3 linked regions of the Sus scrofa genome follow. The protein of the gene in region 1 interacts with the protein of each later gene in a pairwise test. Links are inferred from orthologs where the notes say so. Each region holds a gene or a part of one and is shown in the gene's direction. Other genes may lie near its edges. The genes, in order: RASSF5, STK4 and MYLIP.

What was found.
Region 2: the proteins of RASSF5 (region 1) and STK4 interact in binary tests that used the Homo sapiens proteins (3 or more experiments, as listed by UniProt). The link is inferred for Sus scrofa from reciprocal best matches to the Homo sapiens genes RASSF5 and STK4.
Region 3: the proteins of RASSF5 (region 1) and MYLIP interact in binary tests that used the Homo sapiens proteins (3 or more experiments, as listed by UniProt). The two-hybrid records come from large-scale screens. The link is inferred for Sus scrofa from reciprocal best matches to the Homo sapiens genes RASSF5 and MYLIP.

Annotation. Positions count from the first base shown.
Region 1 is NC_010451.4:67,180,239-67,185,770, forward strand, and holds part of RASSF5 (ras association domain-containing protein 5), read left to right. Parts: intron 1-3,525; coding exon 3,526-3,647; intron 3,648-5,532. UniProt on the Homo sapiens protein: Potential tumor suppressor. Seems to be involved in lymphocyte adhesion by linking RAP1A activation upon T-cell receptor or chemokine stimulation to integrin activation.
Region 2 is NC_010459.5:47,410,961-47,416,492, forward strand, and holds part of STK4 (serine/threonine-protein kinase 4), read left to right. Parts: intron 1-934; coding exon 935-1,072; intron 1,073-3,670; coding exon 3,671-3,799; intron 3,800-4,562; coding exon 4,563-4,749; intron 4,750-5,532. UniProt on the Homo sapiens protein: Stress-activated, pro-apoptotic kinase which, following caspase-cleavage, enters the nucleus and induces chromatin condensation followed by internucleosomal DNA fragmentation.
Region 3 is NC_010449.5:12,130,009-12,135,540, forward strand, and holds part of MYLIP (E3 ubiquitin-protein ligase MYLIP), read left to right. Parts: intron 1-834; coding exon 835-1,020; intron 1,021-2,500; coding exon 2,501-2,698; intron 2,699-3,461; coding exon 3,462-3,626; intron 3,627-4,573; coding exon 4,574-5,120; 3' UTR 5,121-5,532. UniProt on the Homo sapiens protein: E3 ubiquitin-protein ligase that mediates ubiquitination and subsequent proteasomal degradation of myosin regulatory light chain (MRLC), LDLR, VLDLR and LRP8. Activity depends on E2 enzymes of the UBE2D family.

The DNA of each region.
Region 1 (5,532 bases):
GCTTAGTTAGCATTTCTAGGGGCCAGGAAATATCAAGCCATGCTTCCGTGGTTTTGCGACAGTCTGTGATTACACGGTCAGATGGGACAGACCCACTAGTGCTCAAATGTGCTTTTTATACAATCCCGAAGCACCCCTCTTGGAGTCTTCTGGGTCCTAACTCTGTCCAGCTCAGCATCAGACCTGTTTAAAAAAACAAATACAAAAACAACAACAAAAAAATCTCCCAAGGGTTTTGGTGCTGTTTTCAGAATATGTGTGTGTGTATGTCTGTGTGTGTGAGAGCGAGATAGACAGACAGACATGGAGAGATTCAGTTGCACAGATGGACACAGACCGCCTGCTGACATGGAATTGAAAGAGGAGACAGGAGAACTTTCTCCTCTCCCCAGACACTCTCCCCTTTGGCAGCTGGTGGCAGCTCTCACTCCTGCTTCCCACTTGGCATCCGCAGAGCATTCTTCATCGCTCAGAGCGTGGCCAGGAGCTGCACAGGTGTGTCCCGGAGTGGAGCCGGGAACAATGCTGCCCTGTGTGGGTTCTGGCCTTGGCGCTCCCTTATCAAAGCCCTGGCATTTCTGGGCACTGTGGGCAGGGAGACTTGGCCTGCACAACCCCCCGTGCCCTTCACCCGGTGCCTGGGTCTCCTGCTGGGGGCCCAGGAATGCGAGTGGCTGCTGGCAGGGGTGCGGTCCTCCACCCACCCCATCTCCAGTGGGAGCACAGCTTCTCGGGAGAAGAATCAGGAAGTCTAGGCAAGGTTGGGGTCTGAAGGAGGGGATGTCAGTGGACTTGACCTGCAGGCACAGGGGAGGTGAGCGGTAGGGCTTCTAAATGCCACCCTAGGAAGGTGGTCAGGACTTCAGACCATTGAGTCAGAGGGTTGCTGGGTTCTGGGATCCCTTCCTGTCCCTGCATTGGCCAGGCGCTCCCCTGAAAGTATTAAGATCAAGAAATGTGAGCCGGGTGCTCATCCTTGGGGAGGTAAGAAAGGGGGCAGCTGGGGAAAGTGGGGTTCTCCTTCCAAAACGCTCCAAAAGAGTGGGGAGACCCACCCACTGCCACCCTAAGAAAGACTGTGCTACAGCAGCTTTAAAAAGATGATCCAGGGAGTTCCTGTTGTGGTGTAGCAAAAACAAATCCAACTAGTATCCATGAGGATGTGGGTTCGATCCCTGGCCTCGCTCAGTGGGTTAAGGATCTGGCGTTGCTGTGAGCTGTGGTGCAGGTCGCAGACAGCGCTTGAATCCCTTGTTGCTGTGGCTGTGGTGTAGGCCAGCAGCTGTAGCTCCGATTGGACCCCTAGCCTGGGAACCTCCATATGCCGCGGGAGCGGCCCTAAAAAACAAAAACAACAACAAAAAGAGGGTCCCCAGGTGCTGTGGTTCTGGAGCTTGTTAAAAGGAAGGAAAAGAGGGAGCTCCTTGGTGGCCTAACAGTTTGACCCCTGGAACTTCTACATGCGGCAGGTGTGGCCCAAAAAAAAAAAGGGGAGGGGGGAGTTCCCTTCATGGCTCAGTGGTTAACGAATCCGACTAGGAACCATGAGGTTGCAGGTTCGATCCCTGGCCTTGCTCAGTGGGTTAAGGATCTGGCATTGCTGTGGCTGTTGGTGTAGGCTGGCAGCTACAGCTCCGATTGGACTCCTAGCCTGGGAACCTCCATATGCCGCAGGAATGGCCCAAGAAATGGCAAAAAGACAAAAAAAAAAAAAAAAAAAAAGGAAGGAAAAGAGTGTCAGGAGACTGAGCCCAACATAAAGCTGTCCCTTCGTCCCCAGATTATCCAGACATGTCCAGGCTGTCTCCTGCCACAAGCCCTGCCCACCCCAGCCCACCCCTATGTACCGGGTGACACGGTCCAGCAACCTTCTCATTAAGACTCTGGCAGCCTCCCTCAGCAGGGCCTTCTGGCTGAGCTGTGGCACCTCCAGGGCTGGTGACCCTGATGGGCCCAGCAGCTTCTGTGGGAACCAACCTCCAGCCTGAGCCTTGTGCCTGCTGATGGGCTTGGACGGATTTCTTTCACTGCCAACCTTTTTTTCTCTCCCATCCTCCCTGCCTTCACCTGCCCCAACCTCCCGGCCTCCTGTCCCCTTCAACTTCACCTCCCTTCTGCCAAGGAGGCTTCAGAGAGGGCCCTTGGGGAAGCTGGAAACTGCTTGCAACCTTGGCTGTGCCACTGAGCCGTGTGTCATTGGGCACCGTGCTTTACCTCTCTGGGCCTCAGTTTCCCCATCTCTGAGGTAACCCCCCATGGTCTGCTGAACACTGGTCATTGTCTTACTTCCATGGATGTGAAACAAATGTGTGCTTTCCTCCAAAGCCTCATTTGGAATGTTGTCTGCAGGCCATGTCAGCCAAGTTAGAGGAGCCACCTCGCATTTCTAGATGGCACTGTGTCAGAGAGACGTGACAGCCCTTCCTGTTGGTGATCATGCCTTTGTCCCTGGAGAAACCTTTAATTTGTTGGGGTTCTTTTTGTTTTTTGGGTATTTTGTTTTGTTTTGTTTTTTGTCTTTTTAGAGCCTTACCTGTGGCATATGGAGGTTCCCAGGCTAGGGGTCTAATCGGAGCTATAGCTGCCAGCTTATGCCACAGCCACAGCAATGCAGGATCTGAGCCGCGTCTTCGACCTACACCACAGCTCATGGCACGCTGGATCTTTAACCCACTGAGAAAAGCCAGGGATCGAACCTGCAACCTCATGGTTCCTAGTCGGGTTCATTTCTGCTGCGCCACAACACAGGAACTCCCACCTTTAATTTGTTAAGACCCGTTCTCCTCTATAACTGTAATCATCCTTGTGCACCAGGCAGGGCCATTATTACCTGTTTTACAGCCTGCAAAACAAGGCCAGGAAAAGTTAAGTTCTTCCACAGGGATTGGGGCCTCTGATGATTAACATCAATTAGTAGAAAGAGCACCAGCCTGAAGCCAGATGATCTGCCCTTGAGAAAGTCACCCTAGGCCCCAGTTTCCTGTCGGCAAAGTGGCGGTAATCATGGTTGCAGGGTCACACACAATAATGGAGGTGGAAACAGTTTACATACTGGGAGCTCCCATTGTGGCTCAGAGGTCATGAACCCAACTCGTATCCATGAGGATGTAGGTTCAATCCTGGCCTTGCTCAGTGGGTTAAGGATCCGGCGTTGCCATGAGCTGTGGTGGAGATGGCAGATGTGACTTGGATCTGGAGTGGCTGTGGATGAGGCTGTGATGAAGGTCCACAGCTGCAGCTCTGATTTGACCCCTGGCCTGGGAACCTCCATGTGCTATGGGTACAGCCCTAAAAAGAAGAGGAAGACAAAAACAAAAAGGAGATTGCAAATTCTAAACAAAAACTAGATTGCAAACTGTAAAGCACCTATTCACCTTCCCTACTCATGGTAGTTCAGAGAGAGCGAGTCATTCTCATGGTGTTCTTCCCCCTCCACCGCCCTCCAGGAGCTACATGCCGCCTCCCAGGGCCTTTTTCTGGGCCTCCTGTCTGGCCCCTAATCCCTCTGCGGTTCTCTCCCTCCAGACTGCAAATTCACCTGCCACCCTGAGTGCCGCAGCCTGATCCAGCTGGACTGCAGTCAGCAGGAAGGCTCCTCCCAGGACAGACCCTCTCCAGAAAGCACCCTCACTGCAACCTTCAGCCAGGTAGGCGGGAGGGCTCGAGCTCCAGGTTGGCGACAGCCTCCTGAGGTGCCCCCAGGTTCCCCTGTCCCTCCCAGGGGCTCTGGGGAGCATGGGTGGCGAGAGTGTTCCATGTACGCTGGATGTTGGGGGTCCCCTTCTGGCCAGTTGGGGTCCATAGCACACTCTTCGAGTCTGCGCCCAGTTCCAATGTGGGGGGTTTCCCCACACCACCACCCTCTGACACCCAGTGGGTGCCCTGTAGTTCAGCTCAGTGCTGTACTCTGCACCCCCCACCCACCACCTCAGATACCAGTTGTAAGAGTATGTTGTCACCCATGCTTCGGACCAACAGGCTGTAGGTGGGAGGTTGCCACAGCTCTGTCTTTGGGCTCAATGCATTTGTTAGAGCAGCTCACAGAACTCAAAGAAACATTTGAAACTTACTAGATCGCCAGTTTATTATAAAAGGATATAACTCAGGAGCAACCAGATGGAAGAGATGCAGAGGGCCAGGTGGGGGAGGTGCACAAACTTTCATGTCCTCTCCAGAGGTGCCCTCCCTGCTCCTCCCCATGTTTCCCAACCCAGAAGCTCTCTGAGCCCCAAACTTCCAGGACCTTACAGAGGCTTCATTATACAGACATGATTGATCAAATTGTTGGCCATTGGCGATTGATCCACCCTCCGGCCTCTCTCTGTTCCCCAGAGGTCAGGGGCGTCCATCTGAAAGTTCTAATCCTCTCATACTTGGTTGGTTCTCCTGGCAACTAGCCTGCATCCTTAGGTGGGATCCAAAAGTCACCTCATGGAATTCCCATCTTGACTTAATGGTTAACGAACCAGAATAGTATCCATGAGGACGTGGGCTCAATCCCTTCCCTTGCTCAGTGGGCTAAGGATCTGGTGTTGCCATGAGTTACGGTGTGGGTTACAGATGTGGCTCGGATCCCACATTGCTGTGGCTGTGGTGTAGCTACAGTAGCTACAGCTCCAATTCAACCTCTAGCTGGGAACCTCCACATGCCATAGGTGCGGCCCTAAAAAGACAAAAGACAAAAAAAATTTAAAAATAAAACCGACAATTTTAATTTTAAAGAAGTCACCTCGGAATTCCTGTCATGGCTCAGTGGTTAACGAATCCAACTAGGAACCATGAGGTTGCAGGTTCGATCCCTGGCCTTGCTCAGTGGGTTAAGGATCTGGCGTTGCCATGAGCTGTGGTGTAGGTTGCAGACGCGGCTCGGATCCTGTGTTGCTGTGGCTCTGGCGTAGGCCGGCAGCTACAGCTCCGATTCAACCCCTAGCCTGGGAACCTCCATATGCCTCGGGAACAGCCCAAGAAATGGCAAAAAGACCAAAAAAAAAAAAAAAAAAAAAAGTCACCTCATTAACATCACAAGAAATACCTTTGGTGCTCTCATCATTTAAGAAGTTCCATTGTGCCAAAAATGGAGACAGAGATCAAATGTGTATATCTCTGATTATTAATCACAGTATCAGAGTTCTCGTTGTGGCACAGCAAAAACAAATCCGACTAGGATCCACGAGGATGCAGGTTCAGTCCCTGGCCTCGCTCAGTGGGTTAAGGATCTGATGCTGCCTTGAGCTGTGGTGTAGGTCACAGACGAGGCTCAGATCTGGCATTGCTGTGGCTGTAGGCCAGTAGCTACAGCTCCGAATCGACCCCTAGCCTGGGAACCTCCATATGCCGAAAGTGTGTCCCTAAAAAAAAAAGGCAAAAAAAAAAAAAATCACAGTGTCACACATCCTTTCCAAGAGGCTGGGGAAGCGGAATAGCATCGGTGACACAGGGAAGCCTGTCATTATTCAGAAGTGCCCTCCCTGTGGCCCACTCCAAGCACAGAACCTGTTTTGGCCTAAGGCTCCAGCCATAGGTGTGGGTATG
Region 2 (5,532 bases), on another chromosome or scaffold:
ACTGTTATATGCACTGGGAAACCGAAAAAATCATGTGATTTGCTCTATTGCAGCAGTCTGGAACTGAACCTACAGTATTTCCTATAGTTTTATTTTTTTTGGAAATAGTAGAATTTAATTGCCATGTAGTAGGCCAATTTTTTTTCAAGTATGTAGAATTAATGTGGCTTGGAGGCTGATGACTCTCTTGTGATTTGGGGGACTTCTAGGTTTATGACCTCCTTTCAGTCACTTTTTTTTTTCTCTGCTTTTTAGGGCCGCACACACGGCTTCTGGAGGTTCCCAGGCTAGGGGTTAAATCGGAGCTGTAGCTTCTGGCCTATGTCACAGCCACAGCAATGCGGAATCCCGAGCCGTGTCTTCGACCTAGACCACAGCTCACGGCAACCTCGGATCCTTAACCCACTGAGGGAGGCCAGGGATCGAACCTGCAACCTCATGGTTCCTAGCTGGATTTGTTTCTGCTGTGCCACAACGGGAACTCTGCAGTCACTTATTATATCCAGGGGTGGTGGTAACTTTTAGGGAAGAGGGAAACTTGACAGCTACAGGGCTGGGGTTCTCTTCAAGATGTTGATGTTTGGTCTTGCCTTTTCACTTTGAGTGGCAGTGTACTTTGGTCAGCAAAACCCCCAAAAAGCTTGCTGGATATCGTGAGGTTTATGGGACGAGAGTACAGATGAAAGAGGGAGAGAGAGAGAGGGAAATCAGAGGGAGGAAGAGGGGGAAGGAGAGCTCTATCAGCTTCTCTAATTGTCATAACTTCCTTCTTTGAGATACTCAGACTTTCATTGCAATTTGGGGGCTTATAGTGGGGAAGAGAAAAACCATTTCATCAAACTTCCAATGTATTTCTAGTCATATTTTTATTGGAGCATCACTTTCACTTTGCCAAATCTTTTTTTTTTTTTTTTTTTTTTTTTTTTTTCTTTAGGCAATCTTCATGATTCCTACCAACCCACCTCCCACATTCCGAAAGCCAGAACTGTGGTCAGATAGCTTCATGGATTTTGTGAAGCAGTGTCTTGTAAAGAGCCCTGAGCAGAGAGCCACGGCCACTCAACTCCTCCAGGTAGGAATCAGCCTGGGGTGCAGCGGTTTCACTCACAGGCTGACCAAAAGATGCTGTTAACCCACCTACATGGAGATGGTATAAGATATTCCCTGCCTCTAGGCAGGTTTAAATGTGAATGCTTAGAAAAGATATAGAAAAGAATGGGAGATCATTGAACAAGACAATAATGCAAGAAAATACAGTGCTCTGTGGGAATTAGAAAGCAGGAATTGACATTTATTGAGCACCTACTGTGTGCTATTTTGCACGTTGTGCCATTAATTTTAATTGACATTTATTGAGCACCTACTGTGTGCATACTTTGCATGTTATGCCATTGATTAATTTTTAATTAATTCATTAATTTTTGGCCATGGCTGCAGTGGCTTGACATAGGATCTCAGTTCCCAGACCAGGGATGGAGCTACTGAAGATGAAAGCACTCAGAGATGAAAGCACTGAATCCTAATCACTAGACCACCAGGGAACTCCCACATTATGCCATTTAATCATCACATACACGCTGTGAGAGATAGGTATTATTTATTTTTATAGGTGAGAAAATGGAGGTTTGGAGAGGTTAATCATTTAGAGCCACTCAGCTGGTAGACAGCAGAGCCAGGATGGGACCTAAGTAGTCTCTTTGATTCCAAAGCAGGAGTGATTCAGTGTCCCCAATTCTGACAAAGAACTGGGATTAATGGTAGGTGCTGCTGTAACTCAGGGTGGGAAGAGGCCACTTTGGACTGGAAATACGGAGGAATGCTTTCCTGGAGGAGGTGACCTCTGTGCTTGGGCTTTGAAGAATGGGTGGGATTTGGCGGGCAGCATCCTTCGTGGTTAGGAGCTTGGATTCTGGAGCCCAGTTGCCCAAGTTGGAGTCCTGGCTCTCTACGTACTGGCTTTATGACGTTGAGTGAGGAACCGCACCTCTCTGTCTATACAGTAGAGGTAAAGTACCTGTTCCATATGTTAGGATTAAGTGATATCATATGTGTAACTTCGAATAGTTCTTTACACATATCGGAGATACAGTATATTACGGATTTGATGAATATCTGCTGTTGTGTCAGGCCATGCCCAATAATGGTTTTCAGTCACATCAGACCCAGTGCCCCCTTTTTACAACCAATACATTTTATTTAAACATTCCTTACCTTTCCGGCATGAAACTCATAGATGATAAAATCTACTTATACCCATAATTTAAAAAGAATCAGTGTAATGCCTGTGATGTGATGGAGAAATATAAGGATAATAATTTATAATAAAATATGTGTCCATATAGAAATGCTCCAGCTTTTCAACTTATAGACATAATAAAGTAATTAGACACCTGTACCTAGCATCACAAATGAGTTTAGATTGAAGAGCAGAGAGAACAGAAAGCATTTCCTTCAAGAAACCCAGGAAAATGAGTGGAGGGGACACTAACATAATTGTAATGTCAAGTAATAGCAGAGCAGACTCATTTATATATAAGGTAGAGAAATGATCTTAAAGACTTTCTCAGTAGAGAGAACAAGGAAATTTGATATTCTTGCAAATGAGCTGCGTCTTATTTCTGAGAGTAGTGATGAATTCTTTTCCTACCTGGCTGGGGTGCTAATGCAGTTTTATGGAAAAGATATCTCCTGTATTTCTATCCCACCACATGGTGAGGCTATTGTACATATCTAGAGTACTTGCAAAGACCTTGGAAATCATATTCTCTGGTGGGTGGTGATTGCAAAGAGGAACACTGGGGACAAATGTCAGAATAAGTGTGGAAAACAGCAGGCAACCCCCCCCCCAAATTTCCAGACATAACTTTCATAGCATAGATTTCTTATCATTTGTGTCACAAAAGGCAGTAATACAAACGTAAGATGGTATTAATATTAAAAACTTTAAGCCATTTCTATAAATGAAAGTCAGCAGTATTCACAAGCATCTTTGCAGATTGAATAATATTGGACCTACATCTGTTACATATTTGTTACCAGTTTTAGTATTTCTGTAGGAACTGCATTTCGGCACTAAAATCCTTTTTACCTAAATCCGTAGTTGGAAATTCTATAGTACATTGACTAGAAAGAATAAACAGGATGAGTAAACTATTCAGCGATTTCTAAACAATGTCTCTATTCCATTGAAGCCCCCCCTCCAAAACCACCCCAAAATTTTTCAGTATTATTTATCAAAGTGTATATATGTTCTCTGACACATTTGAAAGATGTACAGAATGTGTTACAGTTCAATGCTGTATAAGATTGTTCCACACTTCACAGGATCGCTTGTGTCCCTGCCCCCTGTCCCACTTCCATGTAGTTTGTGTTCTCCAAACAAGCTCCCAGCATGTTTACAGAACTTCCTCTAGGGGGCGATAGTAGCCTGCTGAGAATCCCTAGAGTTTGCACAGAGAAATGGAGGAAACATTCTAGCCAAGCCAAAAAAGATGGGTAAAGCATGAATGCATCTGTTCAGTTATAAAGCGAGTATGAGTTAGCTGATGTCCAAACCATAAAGAGAAACAGATTCACTGGCCGATTGAACAGAAATCATCAAGTACCTGCTGTGTGCCAGGCAGTGTTTGGCACTCTACCATATAAACCATCTTCCACTTTCTTATTGAAGCACCCATTTGTCAAGAGTGCCAAAGGAGTGTCCATACTGCGGGACTTAATTAACGAAGCCATGGACGTGAAGCTGAAACGCCAGGAAGCCCAGCAGCGGGAGGTGGACCAGGACGATGAAGAAAACTCAGTGAGTGGCAGGCAGTGTGGTGGGCCTCGGGCATTCATGCTTGTTATTTCATGACTACCGGCCAGGCGAGATGAGTTGGGGATGTAGGATCCACCTGGAGCTGGAGACTCTTTTCAAGTGACTCTGTCCAGTCCGGGACCAGGGCTTGCTGGAGGCTTGCTGGATCTGTGCTTGTTCTTCTCACAGCGCTTCCTGAGGCACTTCCACATTTTATTCTTTTGCCTTCATATCTTTTCTTCAGTTTAACTTTTTATTCAGGAGAGAGAATGCTCAGGGCTGAGTCTGAGTTTTCCTTACCCATTTGGAGAATCTGGGAGCCATACTGAATAGGTAGATTTTTACACTTAGAGACTCCCCCACACCCTTGAGATCCCAAGAGTATGCACTCAGCTCCTTGGGTCAATGTTACAACATGTTACTAAGAAGGAGAGGGAAGGGGAGAGGGAGAGGGCCCTTTAGGGTTGGATGTGCAGCTCTCATGTGGATAAATTATGATCTTCTTTGGTTAAGAGTACTCTCAATGGAGTCTAACTCGTGAAAATTGTGAATCCATGTATTGTACACTTGTAACACATAGAGTGTCGTACATCAACCATAGTTCAGTGTGAAAAAAAAAAAAAAGAGTGCTCTCGGTTCTTCGTGGTGGGTTTAGAATCTAAGTGTCACATCAGAAATATTTGCACCAGGATGAATAAGAGTAATTCAGAAACCCTGTAAGATTTTGATCAAATTAGCCCTCATCTGAGATTTCATCCTCTTCCAGGAGGAGGATGAAATGGATTCTGGCACGATGGTCCGAGCCGCCGGGGACGAGATGGGCACCGTCCGCGTGGCCAGCACCATGAGTGACGGAGCCAATACCATGATCGAGCACGACGACACGTTGCCGTCCCAGCTGGGCACCATGGTGATCAATGCGGAGGAGGAGGAAGAGGAAGGCACTATGAAAAGTAAGGCTCTGACTAACTAGACCAACTTGGCAGGCAGGCCGCGCACGATCCAGGGAAAGCAGGTTCTGTGGTCCACACGGACTCAGTCCTGAAGCTCCTTTCTGTTGCCACAACCAAAGGAGTGAGAGAGCATTGGAAGGTTGGGGCGCAGCGGAGGGTCTGGGAGGGAGGAAGCTGGCACGTGGAGTCAGAGGTCGGCAGGCGACAGGAAGGGATCGACTTTCCGACCTGCATGACCATTCTCTTAGCATTTTTTTCTTTCTTTTCCGTGATCTGTGGAGGCGAGCATGTAGGTTTTGATGCGTAATTCAAAGTGTTAGGAAATTCTGAATGACTTATCAAACATACTCTTTTCAGTCTGTTTTCGTCAAACTGTTTGTCTGACCCAGGTTGAGCAATTCTCAGTCAGTCTCTTAAGGGTGAATGTGACAACTGAAGAGTCCCTTCCAGGCTCTTCTAATTTAAACCCATCTCTGCTGCTGTTCTTCCTCTTCCGATCCTTTTTATTTGGCCTGTGACCGAGGCCTGACGCCTGTGCTCAGTTCCTCGTGGGGGGCCGTCCTCTCCTCTCCCGTCGGTTTCCTTTCCCTTTACTCTGTGCGTGACAGACCGAGTCACAGAGGAAAGGAACTGGGAGTACCCAGTGGTCATACTAATTGAATTGAGTTCTCAGTGTACCGTTTAGCCTGAATTTTGCACAGGTTTAAAATATTAAGTCTCTGTGATCGTTCCATCATCTTTTTTTTTTTTTTTTTCTTTTCTTTTTTGAAAGTTAAAGCTTCC
Region 3 (5,532 bases), on another chromosome or scaffold:
GTGAGTCCGTGCGTGGTAAAAATGACGAGTCAGTCTCTGGTTTCCATTGGGAGAAAACGTAGGTTTGAGAAGGAAGACAGTTTGGTTTTGAACGAGGTGAAATTTGGGTACTGAAGAAGATCCAGTGGAGAAATCTGTAAGCACTTGGACATTTGAATATGATCCTTAGGAGAAAGTGAGCCTTAAAACTAGTGAGTTGAGGAGTTCCTGTCATGGCTCAGTGGTTAACGAATCCGACCAGGAACCATGGGGTTGCGGGTTCAATCCCTGACCTCATTCAGTGGGTTGAGGATCCTGCTTTGCTGTGGCTGAGGTGTAGGCCGGCAGCTACAGCTCTGATTCGACCCCTAGCCTGTGAACCTCCATGTGCCGCAGGTGTGGCCCTAAAAAAGACAAAAAACAAACAAACAAAACAAAACAAAAAAAAGCAACCTGGAGAGTTGAGGGTCATTTGAATAAAGGATCTTAAGAGATCAATTCCACATCAAGATAAAGTTTTTCTGATTAAGATAATTTCTTTGAAAAAGTATAATGAAGCAAACATCATGTATATAATTATTTTACATTTTGTAACTTGACTGTTAACTGAACTTGTCTTAGATTTGTGTTGTTCGGGTTAAATTTTTTATTCCAGAGAAACTTAATCCTTATACTTATTTTCTGCCTTAATACTCAGGATTTATTGAAAAACTCTTTAATGGTAAGCATTTTCAAGGTAGCTTTCTTCCTGGTTCTGCTTTCCTTACTCGAAAGGGATTAGGAAATGGCTAAGCAGGTTAAGTCTGACACCAGGTGAGTCCCCCAGCATAACCCCATTCTTGTGTTGCTTTGCAGGCATATCTTTTTCTTGCACATCAAGGAGGCCCTCCTGGCAGGCCACCTCCAGTGTTCCCCAGAGCAGGCAGTGGAACTCAGTGCTCTCTTGGCCCAGACCAAGTTTGGGGACTACAACCAGAACACGGCCAAGTACAGCTATGAGGAACTGTGTGCCAAGGAGCTCTCCAGTGCCACCTTGAACAGGTGAGGCTGCAGTTCAGGCTCGTGTTTATCATCATATATCTAGAAAACTTATAAGAATTTCCAGGAAAAAATAAAACTATGGTAGATGAAGATAGTTTGTGAGGTTGAGACTAGACCATTGCCCAGTATAACGAGCTGTTTTCAAAGTGTTCTTAGCCTTTTTGGGGGGGAGACTTAAAAACACAAATAAATGCCTTTATATGAAATGCTATATAAAAGGAATTCTAAAAATCTCTGACCTTTGAAGAATCTCTTAAAAAGTCTATCACGTAGGGAGTTCCCATCCTGGCTCAGTGCTAACGAACCAACTATTATCCATGAGGATGCGGGTTCAATCCCTGGCCTCACTCAGTGGGTTAAGGATCTGGCATTGCTGTGAGCTGCAGTGTAAGTCATAGACATGGCTCAGATTCCGAGTTGCTATGGCTGTGGTGTAGGCCAGCAGCTGCAGCTCCGATTCCATTTGACCCTGTAGCCTGGGAACTTCCATATGCCAGAGGTGTGGCCCTAACAAGCAAAAAAAAGTCTATCATGTGTGTTGGTATTTTCTTTATTGAACCAAGGTTTAAACCAAGAGACCTAACATAGGTGTCTTGCTTCTATTCTTGGGTAACAATTTACCCCCAAAACTTAATACCTCAAAACAACAAACATCATCCCACAGTTCTTTGTGTCAGGGATCTGACCACAGGCTGGGTTCTCTGGTTCCAGGTCTCTCAGGAGGCTGCAGTCAGTACCGGTGGGGTTCAGTCTCATCTGAAGGCTTAACTGAGAGAGGGATCTGCTTCCATTTCAGCTCAGGTAGCTTGTTAGTTGGCCTGTGCTCTCACCACAGGGGCCTCTCCAGGGTTCCGGTTGGCTTCCCCTAGGACAGGGAATCCAAGTCAGAGCAAATACCCAAGACAGAGTCAAAGACTCTATAACTTAATCTCATCCCATCACTTCTGCCCTGTTGTGCTCTTTAGAAGCAAGTCATTAATCCACCCCGCATTCAAGTGAAGGAAATTACACGAAGGTATGGACACAGGAGGTGGAGATCTTTAAGGACTATATTAGGGACTCTCCACTCCAATAGATACAGTGAATCCTGCATGTTTCAGTTGCAAATGATCTGATCAATCCCATAAAATGCTATAGAGTAATGAAACTTAGAAAGTAAATGTAAACAAATGCATGAGACCTTCCTACCTATAAATTTCTTATGTATATGTTTACAGATTTTCCATAATTCTTTCAAGTCACCCCCAGTAGTTTTTTTCTCCTAAATATTTAGTAGTTGAAATCTTGAACAGTGTCTTAGAAGTACTTTACAATAAGCTTGCTAAATAGATGGAACATCAAAAGTATATAGCTGTAAGTTTTTGTGATTCATAAATGACAGGGTGAGTATAATTCACTAAGTGAAAATGATGCAGATTTCTCTCCAGACTATATCAGTTAATCTGTCTGTACATCTCTCTGCCCTCTTGGTGTCTTGTAGCATCGTGGCAAAGCATAAAGAGTTGGAGGGGACCAGCCAGGCTTCGGCTGAATACCAAGTTTTGCAGATTGTATCAGCGATGGAAAACTATGGCATAGAATGGCATTCCGTGAGGGACAGCGAAGGGCAGAAACTCCTCATTGGGGTTGGACCTGAAGGAATCTCAATTTGTAAAGACGACTTTTGCCCCATTAACAGGTAACCCAAGACTGAAAAAAATTTTTTTTTGTGTGTGTGTTTTTGTCTTTTCTAGGGCTGCTCCTGTGGCATATGGAGGTTCCCAGGCTGGGGGTCTAATCGGAGCTGTAGCCACCAGCCTACACCACAGCCACAGCAACTCAGGATCAAAGCCACGTCTGCAACCTACACCACAACTCACGGCAACGCCAGATCCTTAACCCACTGAGCGAGGCTAGGGATCGAACCCACAACCTCATGGTTCCTAGTTGGATTCGTTAACCACTGAGCCGTGACAGGAACTCCAAGACTGAAATTTTGTTTCGACCTAAGTGTGTAGACTGTCGTAACTCTGATCATGCAAACAGGAAATGGAGAGGGATTTGCTAGACAGTCGTCCTTTAGGAATAACATGTTTCATTTTTGGTAGGTTCATTAATTTTATTGAGGCCTTGATAACCATTCAATTTTTTTTTTTTTAAATATAAGTTCAAGTGTAGGGATGTGGCAAAGCTACTATTTTTCAAATAAGTCATTTGTGGCTATAAATAGCTCATTTCACCTACACCCCCCCTCCAAAACTCGCTCCAGCAGCCTCTCCACTTCCCCCCTGCTGCTTGTCAGCAAGAATCAATGACTGGGAGCAGCGCTTCTATGATGGTCTCCGGCCCCGCATCAGATGGAACGGCGATCTGAAGCCGTGAGGGCCCTGCAGAGGGGCGCATGAAGCGTGGTCCCCTGGCCCCACCCCTGGCTCGCTCACTTTCCTCTTCCCGCCTTTCAGGATCGCTTACCCTGTGGTGCAGATGGCGACTCAGTCGGGAAAGAATGTGTACCTGACCGTCACCAAGGAGTCTGGGAACAGCATCGTGCTCTTGTTTAAGATGATCAGCACCAGGGCAGCCAGCGGGCTGTACCGAGCCATCACCGAGACGCACGCTTTTTACAGGCACGTACCCCTGTTCACCCTGTAGCCCCAGTGTCTGCCCATAGCACTCGGGTTTCCAGGTGAGGGCGAGGCACCTTCAGTTCCTGGTACCGTTGTGTCCATGAACCTTGTACAGAATTTAAGAAGTCAGCTCTTTTTGGACCCTTCGTTTCTGCCCTAGCAGTTGGGTCTTTCTCATAATCACCCTGCTTCTCAGGACATGTATGCGCGCGTGCGTGCGTGCCTGCGTGCGTGTGTGTGTGTGTACACTTGCCTGCACAGACACATTTCACTCTTAGCTCATTCCTCACAGCTCCCCCTCCCCAAGGGAACTTGAGTGTATGGGCCTGTTGAGCTTCAGCTTTGCCCTCTCCCCACAGGATATCCCCAAGTCACCTTTCCTTCCTGAGAGAGCTTGCTGGGCCAGCAGACGCTCGCCCTCTAAGTGGATTGGAAGGGTCTCTCTGTAACTATATTGATACCCTCATTTCTGAGGGTGCTTTAAAGTAGAGTTGTGATTTGACTCAAATGTTAGCACAATTAAAAGCTAAGATATTTAATTGGCAGGCAACCCAAGCCCTTTATTTATGTTAAAAGAGACACAGTGTGGAGCAGGATGGAAAATGTGTAGAAAAATTTTAACACAAATCCAGGACTTCAAAGAAAAATGTCCTTGTTCTTGCCATAAGCTGCTTTGCACTGTAGCTCCTATCCCTGGAGATGGAGATGCTCTCTGGGTTTACAGCTCCCTGATCAGAGGTCCTTGTACTGGGGACTCTGGAGGAGCATAGAGGTGGGATTATTCCGATACTTAAGACGTAAAACTGGAAGAATTTACTTGCAAGCACCCAAACAGGCATATTAAACGCTGACACAAATGTTCTCGTTCTCAGCAGCATTTAAGGCCTGGATCGCAGGGCTGCCCAGGCCTGTCAGTACTGAGGTGGGTGTTCCATCTCTGTCCGCAGGTGCGACACAGTGACCAGTGCCGTCATGATGCAGTACAGCCGAGACCTGAAGGGCCACCTGGCTTCTCTGTTTCTGAACGAAAACATTAACCTGGGCAAGAAGTATGTCTTCGATATTAAAAGAACCTCAAAGGAGGTATATGACCACGCCAGGAGGGCTCTGTACAACGCAGGCGTGATGGACCTCTTACCAAGAAGCGACCACAGCCCCCCGAGTTCTCCCCTAAAGTCCTCCGAGAGCAGCATGAACTGCAGCAGCTGCGAGGGCCTCAGCTGCCAGCAGACGCGGGCCCTCCAGGAGGAGCTGCGCAAGCTGAAGGAGGCCATGCTCTGCATGCTGTGCTGTGAGGGCGAGATCAACTCGGCCTTCTGCCCCTGCGGCCACACTGTGTGCTGCGAGGGCTGCGCCACCCAGCTCCAGGTGAGGGGCTCCCCGGGCTCCAGGGGAGGGCTCAGCTGGCCGCCACAGACCAGGTGCTGGCTTGAGGGACACCATTGGAGAATGTCTATCTCCACCTGGAGAGAGTCTTTGTATTTAGCGACTTAGGAGATGTTGCTCTCTGGAAACAGTTCGGATTAGCACACTCTTTTTAACAATGTGATTGCAAAATCACAAGCTTTTTGCAAGGCCTGGAAACGAGGCTCCAGTTCACAAGGTAACACATCTAGTCAGTGGCTGAGCCGGGCACTGGAATCCAGGCCTCTTAGGGCTGGTCAACTCCTCTTGCGTTTCACGATGCCTCCACATCCTGACAACTTAGGAGGATGGTCTTTATTACATACTTGTATTATCTGAGAAAGAACAATAGGGTTTGGAGTGGGTTATCCATGAGTGGGTTGTTGACTGATTACTTGTGATTCTTTTTTTTTTTTTTTTTTTTACTGCCTGTACTCCCTTGGGGCCTTGTGGATTGGCTCTCACTTAGCAAGTCAAACTAGTTGTAATATTACTACAACCA